Xenopus tropicalis: one gene and its partners. The protein of the gene in region 3 interacts with the protein of the main gene of each other region in a pairwise test. Links are inferred from orthologs where the notes say so. Each region holds a gene or a part of one and is shown on either strand. Other genes may lie near its edges.

Region 1 (4,803 bases), on a different chromosome or scaffold from region 3:
GCAAGTTATTCTCTTCCTTTGTCTGGGGCTTCAATTGCATATTCCACAGCTTGTCAACATTATTAGGCTCAGTTCCTGCCAACTGTGAAATATAAAAAAATATGAATAATTCATATGTGGGAGGTATAGCATGTTCTCACCGCAGAATGAGAAAGATGATGAGTCACACCGAATAGATATTGATTATAGATGCTTTGCAAATGCCTTTTGTGCAAAAAAATTACTTCAGTAGCTTTCATGCAGTAATAACCTAACCTGTTGGGATCAGAGAGATTTAAAGTGAATGTGATGTGTACCTTTCTGACATAATAAGCATTTCATTCTAGACTGGCATGTTTAATAACATGTATATGACTATTGTATATGACTATTGTGTTTTACCAGTATGGTAAAACACACAAAAAAAACAAAAAACAGTGGGGCTCATTTCTTAATATTGGGCACATTTGTGCCTGGACAATATTCCATAACAACCAATCAGGAATTAGTGTTTTTAGCCAGCTGCAGGAAGACAAGGTAAGCAAAAAATTGCCATGGGTTACTGCCCAGTGTTGATAAATTATGCATTACAGATAAGATATTACTTAAAGGAAAACAATGTAGGTCTCTATAAAAATATATAGAATACAAAAGCTCACATGTAAAACCCTGCTTCATCTAAATAAACCATTTAAAAAAAAATATATATATACCTTTTTAGTAGTAATCGTAAATAAATAAAAAAAATCACCATTTTAAGTAACCTTGGGATCATACAATTCCCTGTGCACACTCACATGTTAGGCCACATCAGCCAATTAATGGACAGAACTCTATCTTTTACTCCCACATTTCCTGACTTCCTGTTACAGTTAGAGCTGCATTACTTCCTGATCTCTGAGGGAGCACACAGACCATCACAAAAGGGTGGCTCAAAGGGAAAAGATGTAAAAGGGCAATATATATATATATATAGAAGGTGCTTGAGAGAGGGTCAGCACTCACAGGACTTATATAAACAAATTATTTTTTATTAAAGAGGAGACTAACAGTTCTGCTTCACATGAGCCCCATGAGTTGAAATAGACTCATAATCAAGAAAACTTAGTCAGTAATTTACTGACCAAGTTTTTTTGATTATGAGTCTATTTCAACTCATGGGGCTCATGTGAAGCAGAACTGTGTTGATACAAACTTGTTACTTTCTCGGCTCACCCCTGACAGCTAACTACAGTAGCGTGTTAATTTTGATACTTTTGTTTCTGTTTAAGCTGCTGCTTAGACCTTTTGATTACTTGCTTGTACTTATTATTATTTCTTGTGTTTTTTTTTTATTTCATGTTTTCAGTTTTTTTATTGATTTATCTCTGGTATCCTGTCTCTGGCGACATATGATGACGTCATCTCCACTTTTTTAGACACTGTGTTTGTTGTATTCACCACTTTGATAAAGGCTAGAGTGCTAGCCGAAACGTTAGTCTCCTCTTTAATAAAAATAATTTGTTTGTATAAGTCCTGTGAGTGCTGACCCTCTCTCAAGCACCTTCAACATTATTTGGACCTGCACCCAGGCAACAGCAACTTATCTATACGTGAGTGCCGGCATTTACTTGGAAGTTTATATATATATATGTATTATGTATGTATTTATGTATATATATATATTTATATATATATATATATATATTGCAGTTTGGTAGGATTCTTTAATAGGCCACATTTTATGATATAAACTATTTGTTGGCTAAGTATTTGTTCTGGAGTTAGAGGTTTCCTTTAAAGCACATTCCCATCTCTCTCATTTAAAATAGCATAAGAGTGGTAATGATAATAGCGAGCAGGGAATTTAAAGACTACTGTCATGGAAAACATGTCTATCTAAAAATGCACCAGTTATTAGTGACATGGGGCTACACACGTTCTTAGTTTTGCAGGTGCCTTCAGCCATGTGACTTGTGCTGATAAACATTCACTCCCCCCCCCCCCCCTCAACTGATCAGCAGAACAATGGGAAGGTAGAAAGATAGCAGCTCCCTGACACCTGTATTGCTAAAAGTGGTAGATTAGAGAATACCACTCTATAGTAAACATCCAAGTCTGCCTCACCCAAGTCATGACTCCTCCAATTACATTGAGTAGGAGAAACAATAGGTTATCTGAAAGAAGTCCTAATGTGTAGCACTGGCTCCTTCTGAAAGCTCAGACACAATGCACTGAGATGGCGCCTACACACCAATATTACAGCTAAAAAAATGCATTTGTTGGTTCAAGAATAAAATTTTAAATGGTTGAGTGAATTATCTGCAATGTAAACAGTGTAATTCAAAAATAAAATACATTTAACTTTATTTAGAATTGTTTTGGTTGTTTCACATTTACTCCAGCATTGTCATTATTACATCTTTAGTACACTGTCCTTTTTTCCATTTCTTTAGCCTCTTAGAATAGGTTATCATTTTTGTGGAGTTTTTCTCAATTTTAGTCACAATGCTGAATTGATTTTTCTTCCTGTGATGTGACTTCATCAGCCAGTTCAAATAGACTTCATCAGCCAATTAGAATATCCAAGGCTATTGTGATACTAATATCTACAGTTAGTACTAGTGGTTGTATTTATAGCTTATGTATGTGAGTATAGATTGGTAGGTGTGGGTTAGGTGTGCTGGGTTTACTTGGATGGGTTGAACTTGATGGACACAGGTCTTTTTTCAACCCTATGTAACTATGTAACTATGTAACTATGTAATTATAATATTCTCTATTAGAGTCCTGATATATCATCATTGCTGCTAAAAAATACCAGGGGATCTTTTTGAACACATTTTACCTTTTCATGATTAGTGAAGCTATTTATCAGATTATAAGATATCTCTCCAATCTGTGCCTTGCGTGTGTATATATTTATAAAGCTGGACAAGAATGTTATATTTAGGGGCAGATTTATCAAGTTTAGAGCTTAATACACAAAAATTCACCCGTGCTCTTTTCATTCCTATGGGATTTTTAGAAGTGTATTTATCAATGGGTGAAAGTTAGAATTCACCCATTAGTAAATTTGCTTATTCATATCCCATTGGAATGAATAGAACATGTGTGAGTTTTTGTATATTAAAGTACAAGGAAAGGTTAATATAAACTAAAGGCATTATTTTTAAGTACTTACTGCATATCTAAATTCCCAGATCCCTGCTTGCTTCTCTGAGATATGGTGCTGGCAGCCTACAGCAGTGTGAAGACTACAGTGACATCACTGAAATCTCTCTCCCCTTCCTGTAGGCTGCCAGCGGCAGTAGCCTCCAGTAGCAATGCACATGTGCGTAACTTGATCCTGTCTCCTGTTCTGAGCTACACATGCCCACCAGCCAATCAGAAGCGGATCTGGCAGAGGGGAGGGGGGGGAGGGAATGAAACACATGTGTATGAAGCATGCAGGGAAAGGAAGGGAGAATACCTTTTTAAAGATGTCTGCCTGGTCAAGAAACCAGATAGAAAATGTGAAGTAAGTGTGACTGAGTAAATATTTGATTAGGTGAGCCAAAAGTGTGGGGTTTTTACTAAACAATATGAGGACTATTGGGCAGTGTGCTTTTTAAATTTTGACTTGCATTCTCCTTTAAGCTCTAAACTCACATTTTGATAAGTCTGCCCCTTCATGTGCAAATTCTTATTTGCGCTGCAATTACCCATACAGATCTATGCTTGCACACTCTGCATTTGAGTAACCCCAATAGAAAACATATTCGCAAAAAAGTTTTCTCAAATTGCAAATTTATATTTGCAAAACTACCCTCAATGCAAAGTTCGCGCACACCGACTACAAACAGTGGACATGCTCACGCAAACACACATCTCATTTGCGAGCCATATGCAAATATTTTTGCAAAATGTGCATCTCACCACGATTCACAAAACAGCGGTGCAATATTTAAGCATTAAGGGGAAAACATAATCATTAAGTTTATTAATGAACCCAAATGACTGTAATGTAGTAATGAATGTATATTAGGAAGCTCGCAGACTTTAAACATATTAGCTATTCTCAGTGACTGCTCATATACCGGAAGGGAACCTCTCAGCAGGCCTGCTGTGTTTTGTTTTTCAGTAATCTAGATGGGTTTTTGGAAGAGTTTGCAGACATCTCCAAGGAAGACCAAATTAAGAAACTTCATGACTTGCTGGGACCCCACATGCTTAGGCGGTTAAAAGCAGATGTCTTTAAGAACATGCCAGCCAAAACAGAATTAATAGTACGAGTGGAGCTCAGCCAAATGCAAAAGTAAGTCTGTATGAAAACCTGTTGGTTAACACTATGTAATCATTTCCAGTTATCATGTGCTACTAAAAACCCAATGCTTAGTCATTCAGATATCACTTATGTTTGATAAAATAGCTCCAATGCAGTAGAACTGAATAAAACATTGAGTGAATGTGGTATAAATCTGAATTTATATTCACAAAGTATTTCTTTCCTTACTATGGGAGTTGTATGCATATATCCATTTGAGATTATATGGGGTCAACTGCTAAGGAAAACAAGAGTATGTGCACCCAGGAAGCCACTGACACTGGGGAGCAGGGATCAACAGAAAGTAAAAGTGTTAGGTCTGTGGTGAGATTTAAAAATTGCTTAAAAATAGTTATATAACTACAATTTGTTTCAGTGTTTCAACTTTAGAATTTGTTAGTATTATTGGAAGTTACCCTAATCATACACACAGTAGTTAATAATTGGCTTCTTTTAATGTAGGTGGAAATAATTTGTCTACCTGCTACAAGATTTAGGATCAAAATATTAGAAAATATACAGATGCATTGGGCTTGTTT
Region 2 (4,803 bases), on a different chromosome or scaffold from region 3:
CAGAGATACATAATTTTCCAAACTGATGGTGTCAATGCTCTAAAACCAGCAAAAATGTCAGATATTACAATCTATAAATTTGTAAAAATCTATAAGATGTATAAATCTTCTAAAAGGCAGTCATTTCTGTAGACTAAACTTTGAACTGCATTAGCTATATTTAAACACAGACCTAAAACCTAACTATGCAAAAGTTTGTCAATATGAATTATTCTTTACTGTAATGACAATTAAATTCATGTATTTGCTGGCTCGGTGAGATAATCTGGAGTGAATCAAAGGATGGGTTTAAAAATGGTTTGGGTTCACAGGAGTTAATTTATGAGAAAGTAGGACATTTGATTCTTGTAGGGCCTGAAGGTTTAGAAAATGTAAAATCTTGTACAATTTCAATGTATTAGATAGAGGCAACATTTTGGATGTCCTTCTAGAAGTGAAGTATATACCTATTTATTAAATAGAATTAGTAGTAGCTGATCCATTAATTTATCAAGTTAGGCATTTTTACAATCAGGAAGAACTTTACTTGAAAATTGCAAAGCTGGTTATTATTCTTACTTTCTTCCTGTTAACACTAAAACGGCTTTGCAAAAGCTAAATGGACTTTCATAGTATCTGTGTAACTGAATAGTGCACCTCCCTCTCCTTCTCAGCCTTCTATTCAAAAGGAAATGGAGAATAATAGCTTTCTTTAATGAAAAAGGCATTAAGATCCATCCTCTTTATTTGTAAATGAACAAGTAGTTTTACCCGCAAATCCTTGTGATTGGAGTAGAAGCACAGAGTGTTTCCTAAAATTCCAGCCCAAAGCTTTGTAAATCCCTAAAAGCAATGCATGGAAAAAGGGATAAAACATTAAGATTTGATAAAATGTCATTCAGGATAAAATGAGGCATTGTTAAGTTTTTTTTTGTGTTCTTTTATGTCAGGACAGGAAATGATTGTATAAAATCTCAATACAGCAAAAGCACTTGGCAGTACTGAACAGTACTTTAAATAAGGGCTATACAGAGATAAAGGGCTCCATAATGGATTAGGGGCTTGTAGGCAAATAGGAAAGGGTTTTGCCAACTCTCCCTGGTAGAGGTCAAGTATTGAGAAGGAAAAATTAAGCTAGCCAAGTTAAAGAGCTGATAGGTTAAGCAATCCTCAGCATACTGTGAGCAATGAAAACCTAATCTGGCATTAGATAAAATAAGTTAAAAGAGCAAAACTCAGTTTTAAATGTTGCCTGACTCTTTGCTCCATAAACCATGCAATTCCTTTAAATGGGCTCAATCATAATATGTGTTACAACGTAACAAGTTAAAATATGCGTGAAAACAATAGGTGAAATTAAAAGAGAGACAGAGAAAAGCAGAAAAGACATATTTTTATAGTACTCAGTGCTTTTATGACTTCATTTTGCCTAAATCTCAATAAAATGATTTCTACATGAATAAAGCTTATTTCCCTAGCTGATAATTTCAGTCAGAGGGCTAGCACTGCAAGGCTGTTTAAAATGTTCAGAAAGGACGGTAGTAAGCATTACTAAAGCAAATTACATACCCTGTCATTTTTGTCTTTTTTATAAAGATATTCTTCGTAATAATGTTCAGGAGCAGGTGTCTTTGCTCTGGACATGGCTGGTAAGCAGGTGAACGAGTTGCAGGTAAGATTTCTTGACTGTAATGACTGCAGGTACTAGCTGCTTTACAGGAAGCTGGGTGTTGCCTTACATTCCAGTAATTTTTCTAAAGAGGGAGGTGAAACAACATGGAGTTTAACCACATGAGTACCAGAATTTATATTGTAGAAAAACATCTACTGATTCAGATAAGCATTAGTACAATGTAAGTCATTGCTCACACTTAACATTGCATGTCTGAGCTTATTTTTTTATTTAAAAAAAATCATATACATACAGGCATAAATACTGAAATTGCTAATTGACCAAAGTCAAGTCAGACAAAAAAAGAACTTATTTTGTGCTAAAAGTATCACTAAATGACCTGCCATTATTGGTCTGCAAATCCCATTCCTTGCCATCCCATAGTTCCCCTTCTTGCTACTCAAACAAACATACTCTAACACCCCCAATCTCCTGGTCACTTTTCACTGAGTTTTTTGCTCACTGTGGTGAAAGAGCTATTTTAAGTTCCTAGGATAAAGAAAGGTTCCTGGGCCCTGCAACCTTTGTAGTACATAATTTGACTCCCTGTCACGAGTTTTAAAAATGATTTTGTAGAATTTAAAATTCTAAATTATTTTTTTAGGTTCCTATGGCCAGAGGCTTGCTATTTCTGGCTACTCTTACTTAGTAAGATATGGTTAATGAAAAGGAATGATTAAAGTATAAAAAATTGTTAATGATTACAATTCTGGCACAGATCCACAAAGTTCAAATTATTGTCATTCACCAATCATTTACACTTTTACATTTTAGAATCATTGCTTACATTACCTCCTATTTCATGGCTACATTCCTCGTACAGTTACGAAGTAACAGTTATTGTCACACCAACACATAAGTTATTTGTTTTCAGATACTGCACGCAAGTTTCTCTCTTGTGCAATGAAGAGTTAAAAAGAATGTAAGAATAAAACTGTCCTAGCAATAAGAAAATAACCTTTAGACTAGGGAAATCCCCAAAGAGAAAAACACCATGCTTCCTGTATGCAGGCACATAGATTATAACTAACTGGATCCTGTGTATACAGTAATTGGCTGGTAGAATGTTCTTAAGCTTACCAAGGTTAACATTTTCTGATGGATGCCAATGTTTGTTCAATGAAATAGCAAGCATACTGTTTAACAGTCATGTACCTTATTTAAATAAAATAATGTCACAAAGCAGCTACATGGCACCATTTGCAAAGTAAAGTATCAAGAGGTGCTATGGGTGCGTGGGTTACTTCTGGGTACTCCAGTTTCCTCCCAAACTGACAGGTTACTTGGCTTATGACAAAATTGACCCTACTGTGTGTGAATGTGACAGGAACTTAGACTGTAAGCTTCATTGAGGCAGGGACTGACATGAATGCTGGATAAGGGGTTATTTATGACCGCAACTGCTGTGGGCTAAGTGCAAATTCCCATGTTTTTATAAGCACAATGCAGCATTTTCCCCATGAGTCCAGAATAATTGTAGTCAACAAGTGGAGATCAAGTGGCATCCAGGGCCTGATTTCTGGCGAGGTCACAAAGACCTAGGCCTAGGGCAGCACAAAAATGCCACCCAACTGCACCTAAATTTTGATAAAATACAGAGCACTGGGTGCTCTGTCCCCAGTGCTGCATATGTGGAATAAGTGGATGCGAATCTGCGCAATCCTCAGCGCGGGGAGGGGGCGGGGGATGGGGGTGGCCTCTGGGTGGCGTAGTTACAAATCTGGCATTGGATGCATCTGACCAAATAGGGGCTAATGTATTAAAACTGAAGCACTTTGACACGAAAGTCCAGTTGGTGCCATTTCCAGCATTTGGCATAGCTGCAAAAATTTGGAACAGAAAGCAGGAAGGCAGCAGCTTCATACACAACTTTATGGAAGTGCAGGGAGCAGACCTGGGTCAAGATATTTTGGCACCCAAAGGCAAATGCTTTAATCAGTGCAGTGGTCCTGCTTTACTATTATTTCAACCCATCCAAATTGAGATTACCAGCCCCCACTCCTGAAATAAAATGCAACTGCAGAGAAAACCACAGACACACTGACTGCACCAACAAGTCTGTCAACCACACCGGCATTGGCACTTCTTGCTGCCTATTCTGCTTGCTGCCTGAGTGACATCAGAAGCTGAACGCTAAAGATTTCCAAACTGAAAATCAGGGACAGAAGTTAATAAGTCATCACTGTGGTGGAAACACTGGGCCATGCCTTCTTTACATTTCTTTACATAAAAAGAAATATGAGTGTTTGACAGAGAGTTCCGCATTTTGAGTACATAAAGCAGAACTTATGTCACAACTACGTTACACCGAGATATTAGCCCCCAGATAAATTCCTGCCTATTGACTACCATAAGATACAGATATTTCACCATTTTGCAAAATGAAGATATGCATTCCCACAACTAGGGAAAGCAAATAGCAATGGTGTGTGTTTTAGACTGTGTATAATAAATTGGGTGATCTTACTCTACACCTTAAGATCATAATAAAGGTATTATAAGCCATATCTAGCCATAAAACTTCTTTCCCTGTTAAGGCTGTTATGTAGGGTATTGAATTTTTGCATACATTTATATTCCCATTCCTTTCGCTCATGTTGTGTTTTAAAGTTGCCCACTAGTATAATGACTCGAAGATCATCAGATCTGTTCTTCCAAAATTGATGTTGGTTATGTGGGAGGACATCCCCTGGTGTAGTGTTTCTCCAGTTTACCCCACATATAGCCCTGTAGCTGGGATAAGGTATACCACATTGGATGACTTGCAGGAGTATGATTCTTTTATTATGTGTTCCTGCTAGCCATGTGGTATAGGTACATGGCCTGTAGTGTAAAATGTGTGTGCAGGTTTTACACCTTGCTTGCTTGCAGACTGATGAGCCACTTTCTGCTGGAGCATTAATGGAGCTTCATACAATTTGTTTTTTAAGGTTTGGTGGTTGTCTTTATGCCAGTAGAGGTGGTTCAGGGAATATATTTTGCAGCCCATCATCAAACTGTATCATGGGTTGGAGTGTGTTCACGATTTTGCTTAAGGCCTCTAGGTGTGGTCTGTATGTAATAACAAGGGGGGCCTGGTTATTCTTTATGGTTTGTTTGTATTGGAGGAGTTTAACCTTGGGTATGGGGATAGCTCTTTTGATTTGGTTATC
Region 3 (5,485 bases):
CTAAACCTAATACAACTGTATTCATAATGGATTATCAATCATTTTTTATTTACAAAGCCTATTATAGGTTTATGGGGAACGGCACACAGGAAACTGGAAATATAAGCATTTTATTAAAAGGGAGAACATATGGTATTGTGTGCACTAAACAGTCAGATCTGCATATTTCTATTTAGTAAATGCAAACTAGTTTACATTTTCTTTTTCAGTGCAGTGGAAGGGCTTATATTTTTCTCTGCCCTCTTTAGATGTAATCTTTACAGAGTGTAGCATTACGGCTGCTTGTGGGGGCCTGTCTCTGCATGCTGCATTGTTCCTACTGTTTACCTCTTTTTGTTAATTAACTAGATGGAACAATTAACATTTACAGGATGCCCTCAGAGTTTCTGTAATACACAGCAACTTGATTCAAACATGGAAACTGAACTCCAGCCTTGTACATTTACTATGGTTTCAGTAAAGAGGTCAGCTTGCTTGATGACTGTTGCCTTCCCCTGCTAGACAAGGTAGGTTTTCAGATTAGACAGAATTCCATAGAGATCAGGAAGTGTTGGTCCAATTGTTTTTCCCTGCTGTAAAACTCGTAAGTGATATTACACAATCAAAAGTTTAATTACATTAGAACCATTAGAAGAAATGAACAACCATGATACTAAATCATCACCTATGCTCTGTCCAGGCATGAAGATTTAAAAGTGTATGATCAAGTTATTGCAGGGAGCTTGGTTTTAGTTTTATCTTATAAAATGATTAAATGTGGCACAGTTCTTCGGGCTCACAAATACCCACAGTCATACAGTGTTCAAAGGCATAGCAATTCTTCCATGAAGTTCTGAAAGTTCTACCCAACTCTCTATGCGTAGTAGAGAACTCTCCTATTGTGCCAGCCAGCACTTCTGTATATCAGCCATCCTGATGTTATCTAACATATGAAGATTGATATGCAGTTTTGGGCTGCCAATATTGCACTGTAATTAAACAGATGGACTGACGTAATGTTTTTTTTTGTTAGGCAGTAGAAGGAAGCTGTTTAATCCATCTTTGGCCAAACACATAAAGCAAAAACAGGGAGTCAGGTGCACAGATACCAGGCAGAGGTCTTACTGAAGGAATGTCATAAATATATCATACACACAAGTACAAAAAATCCTTTGGCTCCAGGTAAATATCAGTGTGATATCAGCAGCAATGACATTTGTACCAATTTATATAAGACAAAATATTATGTAAAGCGGCTGAAATAAGTATAAAATATGCAAAACACAAACATTAAATAAAGGTTTCATTGAGATTTGACATGTATTTATTTATTTATACATTCCATAGTGGAATGTTTGTGGCACCAACAGAATTTGCAACCACTGTGGCAGAAGGAAATAAAAATTATGGTGGGGGGACAAGTTTAGTCTAAAGCTGGCCATACACTCACTGATAATATCGTACGAAACCCCGTTTACATTGTCACATTTATTCAGTCGAACTGCACACCTGGAACAGACTGAATTCTATTGCCCCAAGTCAAGACTTCAGCATGCCCACATGACAGAACTGTTAAAGTATTGTTATTTTTACAGTACAAAGTGCAATGTACTAGAACAAATACAAATCTGTGCTTGTATAGCAAGCTCCTGATAAATTCTTTTCTAAAAAGGGTGGGGAGCCAGCATCTTAGCCTTAGTAGTTATTTAGCGGATCCTATTAACTACACACATGACAGTATATGTTAACCATCTGTGGTCTGAAAGAGCGTGGTAAAACAAATTGCTCAGAAGTCAGAGAAGAATTTCACCCACCTACTTATTTATAAAAAAAAAATGGGTTTTGTTCTTAATGTTATATAAGCTACAACACATAACTGAAAACAGAGGCAAGATCAATTTCATTAAAAAAAACAAAAAAAAAATCATTGTTGGACAGTAGCATAGGCTCCCATGAAATGTCACAGATATTTTATATTAAGTCCAGATGCTGGCGTTTTATAACTATACATACATTCACTCACCAGTAAGCCTGCCTCTCTATATATACTGTAGATATATACATATTTAAACACTTGTTTATCTGCTGCATCAATCAATCCATCAAATGCAAATAAAACTGTTGTAAGTTATGTAAATAACTGTTTGTAGTTTTTTTAAGTTCCTTGCTCTTGCCTTATGCCCTGTGTGTGGGTTTTGAAGCTGAAGATGAGTTCCAATGAGGGCAAAGTAACTTAAGTCAGAAAAATTATTCACTATGCAAGCTTTTTATCCTTTGAACATATTTAATATAGGGTTTGCAAACCAGCTAAACTATTTAGCAACCCATATAACAGTACAAAAATACTGTGCAGTTTATTGTTTGCATTAGTGCACAGTATAGGTTATAAAGCTTCTTAATTAAACAAAAAAAAATTTGCACAAAAAATATGCCACCTTGCAGCAGGTCTTACAAATGTGTTATGTGTAATTAAAAGTCACAATGCAATATTTGTCTAATGCATAATATTGCAATAATAGTCAAATAATGCATTGCTGAGCACACATTTTTGTTCTTATTTATGCAATTATACCATAGGATGATTTTTATTACATCCACCCACTAAGTATCTCTTTTATAGAGGTGTTTCTGTAACCATTCTACAAGGACATAGTCACAAGTTTATACACAGGGTGACTACAAATGTACACAGCTCACACTCCAGGACAGTCTCTGCCATCACAAAAGCATGTCTTTTCAAAACACAAGACCAATTTCTCAGGATAATTTTGTAATATTGCTGTCACAGCCCACTGAAGGAAAGGGATTTACTTTCTTGTGTATTTCCTGTATCCTTATAGTTCCCATAGGAGGCACAGGGAGTCCCCTTGTCCCATATTCAGACCAGAGGAGGATTACCTGTATCCAGCCAGGTAGGCTCACCCTATACTCCTGGCTACACTCTGTAGGTCACAGGAAATCAATAAGTGGATGTAGAGAGAGGCAATTCACTAGCCAAACCAACACTGCCACTATCAGAAACGCAGAAAGTCTGATAACCCTTTGTGTGCCAGGGCTGGCTTCCCTACAGGCACAGAAGCAATGAAGTGGCAAGTGAATTTCTTTCCTTACCTTTCTTTTCTTCCAGAGAAAAGCAGGACTGACTGACGAAGAAGACGCAGATATATAATCCCACACTCCGGCTAAAAGACCCCATCCCGAGTCTTCAGCTACCCCCAAGAACAGAAATGAGGATGGATCCTTCCTGCAGTCCTGTGCTTTATCTGCTGCCTCTGACACCGGTCTTGTTTCAGTGACCCAAATCCACAGAACGCCTCACATCCATTGTGAACACGATATATACCCACGGGGGAGCGGAGGGAATAGAAGGAAGCTGAGAGCGTTGGACTCCGAGCTTATTGTGGGGCTCTCTCACATGAGACAGTCCAGTGTCTTCTCTTATCTGGTGTATGGAGAAACAGCAGGGAGTAAACGAAGTGCCAGTGACAGGAACTGCTTATCCCTATTTCCACACTCACTTCCCAGGAGTTGCAAAACTTTTGACAGAACGAGCCGGTCTGTGTGAGTCCCTCACGAAAAGAATCTGGCATGTTTGGCTGCTGTGACATCACGGAGAGGTGTGCCTCATTCCACTCCCCCTCCCACAGCCTTCCTCACACTCCAGGACGAGCCGAGCTACGGGCATTATTATCGCTCACTCCTGGCAGAGCTTCATAGGAGCAAGGGAAGCAGCGCCACCTATTGGTCACAACAAACACAATAGGAGACAATTCGCGCAATAATGCAGTTCACTAGCAAATCAGCAGAATCGTTTATATTTATGAGCAAAATATAATTTTGTAAATGCTGGAGTGCTTCAAAAAGTAAAATGGAAGCTGAAAACTACTGCTTGACAAATACATTTTGTCAACAAATACGTTTTAACAAAGCTAAAGTTTGTCTTTCTGCGATGGGCTGTAAAGCACCACGTCTTCCGCTGTCACATGAAACGCCAGATTAGAGTGTTCCAGGGAATCAAAAATGACACCTGTGACTGTTTGGATCAATGCGGTGCATATTAGGTGTCTAGATAAGAAGTTACCATTTAACTTCAAAATTATGGAACGTGTCAATAAAATCCAGGGCTGCAGTGATTGCAATTAAATGTAACATGTATAGGTGTCCCTGAAATTTCATGTGATCTGGTAACCCTGTGTTAAACAACTGAGCCCCCAGCCCTCCTCCAGCCACCCAGTAAAAGCTGGTAAGAGGCAGATGCCTTTTATGAAGGGCATAGAAAAAATCAAAGGGTCCTTCACTGAGCAGCCAGGATGGACCAAGGGATAATGTGGAGTTGAACCTCAGCTGACAGAAGGGCTGCTGTGAGATGCTATAGAGCAGGGATCCCCCGACCTTTTTAAAAAAGTGTTGGGGAGCAACACAAGCATGAAAAATATTCCTGGGGCTGCCAAATAAGAGCTACTTAAAGGAGAAGGAAAGGTTAAGTCACTTGGGGGTGCCAAAATGTTAGGCACCCCCAAGTGACTTAAATTGCATACTTTTTACCCCGGGCTGGTGCCCCTGTTCAGAGAGAACAGCACCAGCCCGGGGTAGCTGCAAGCGCTTCCTCTTCCGTATTCGCTGCACGCGCATGCGCAGTACAGTGAAAAAGCCGAACTTAAACATAGAAGTCGGCTTTTCACTCTACTGCGCATGCGCCGGCCCACGGATTTCGCCGGCAGCGCGAAAATGGAAGGAGGAAGGCTCGCTGCAGGTACCCCGGGCTGGTGCTGTTTTCTCCTAACAGGGGCACCAGCCTGGGGTACAAGGTAAGCGATCTAAGTCACTTGGGGGTGCCTAACATTTGGCACCCCCAAGTGACTTAGCCTTTCCTTCTCCTTTAATAGCCCCAATGTGGACTGGCAGCCAACAGAAGTCTCTGTTTGGCATTAGACCATTTTTGTTGAACTAAAACTTGCCTCTAAGCCAGAAATTCAAAAATGAGCACCTGCTTTGAGGCCACTGGGAGCAACATCCAAGGGTTTGGGGAGCAACATGTTGCTCAGGAGCCACTGGATGGGGAAGTTTAGAGTTTAGACACTATTTATTGGGGTGGTGAGGGGCTGTTTGGGCTTCTGTGTACTTGAAATGCAGGGGCTATTTTGAATCCCAGTCTTGGCCTGATTACTAATATTGTTTTCTATTCTTTTTTACAAGGGAAAGGCAAAGGGCAATCCTTGAAAACACTGCTCACAAGAAAAGTAAAAAGGCAACTGCCCTTCCTGCGTTCCTCCCCTGGTGTTTGCAGTCCAGCTGCCTAAACAGGGTAATAGAAATAGCTGTGGGTACAAATAGAAAAAAAGACAATAATAGTGATTTCTGCTGATTTATTAACCTTCGTATTATTTTCTTTTCTCCAAATCATAATTAATTTTTAGCACTAAAAATCATGAATCAAACACATTTTTTTCTATCAAGTGTAAAAACCATGGAATGATAAAAAACTTGGCAAAGTCATTTAGAAGTC

The links.
Region 1: the proteins of egfr (region 3) and chd5 interact in a protein complementation assay, tested with the Homo sapiens proteins (2 studies listed by IntAct). The link is inferred for Xenopus tropicalis from reciprocal best matches to the Homo sapiens genes EGFR and CHD5.
Region 2: the proteins of egfr (region 3) and stap2 interact in a protein complementation assay, tested with the Homo sapiens proteins (3 studies listed by BioGRID and IntAct, with this or other methods). The link is inferred for Xenopus tropicalis from reciprocal best matches to the Homo sapiens genes EGFR and STAP2.

What each region holds. Positions count from the first base shown.
Region 1 is NC_030683.2:98,554,594-98,559,396, reverse strand, and holds part of chd5 (chromodomain-helicase-DNA-binding protein 5), read left to right. Parts: intron 1-4,081; coding exon 4,082-4,255; intron 4,256-4,803. UniProt on the Homo sapiens protein: ATP-dependent chromatin-remodeling factor that binds DNA through histones and regulates gene transcription. May specifically recognize and bind trimethylated 'Lys-27' (H3K27me3) and non-methylated 'Lys-4' of histone H3.
Region 2 is NC_030677.2:93,953,943-93,958,745, reverse strand, and holds part of stap2 (signal-transducing adaptor protein 2), read right to left. Parts: intron 2,526-4,803; exon of another isoform or gene 2,444-2,525; intron 1,734-2,443; 5' UTR 1,624-1,733; coding exon 1,549-1,623; intron 823-1,548; coding exon 751-822; intron 40-750; coding exon 1-39. UniProt on the Homo sapiens protein: Substrate of protein kinase PTK6. May play a regulatory role in the acute-phase response in systemic inflammation and may modulate STAT3 activity.
Region 3 is NC_030682.2:56,742,887-56,748,371, reverse strand, and holds the start of egfr (epidermal growth factor receptor), read right to left. Parts: upstream 3,197-5,485; 5' UTR 3,176-3,196; coding exon 3,091-3,175; intron 1-3,090. UniProt on the Homo sapiens protein: Receptor tyrosine kinase binding ligands of the EGF family and activating several signaling cascades to convert extracellular cues into appropriate cellular responses.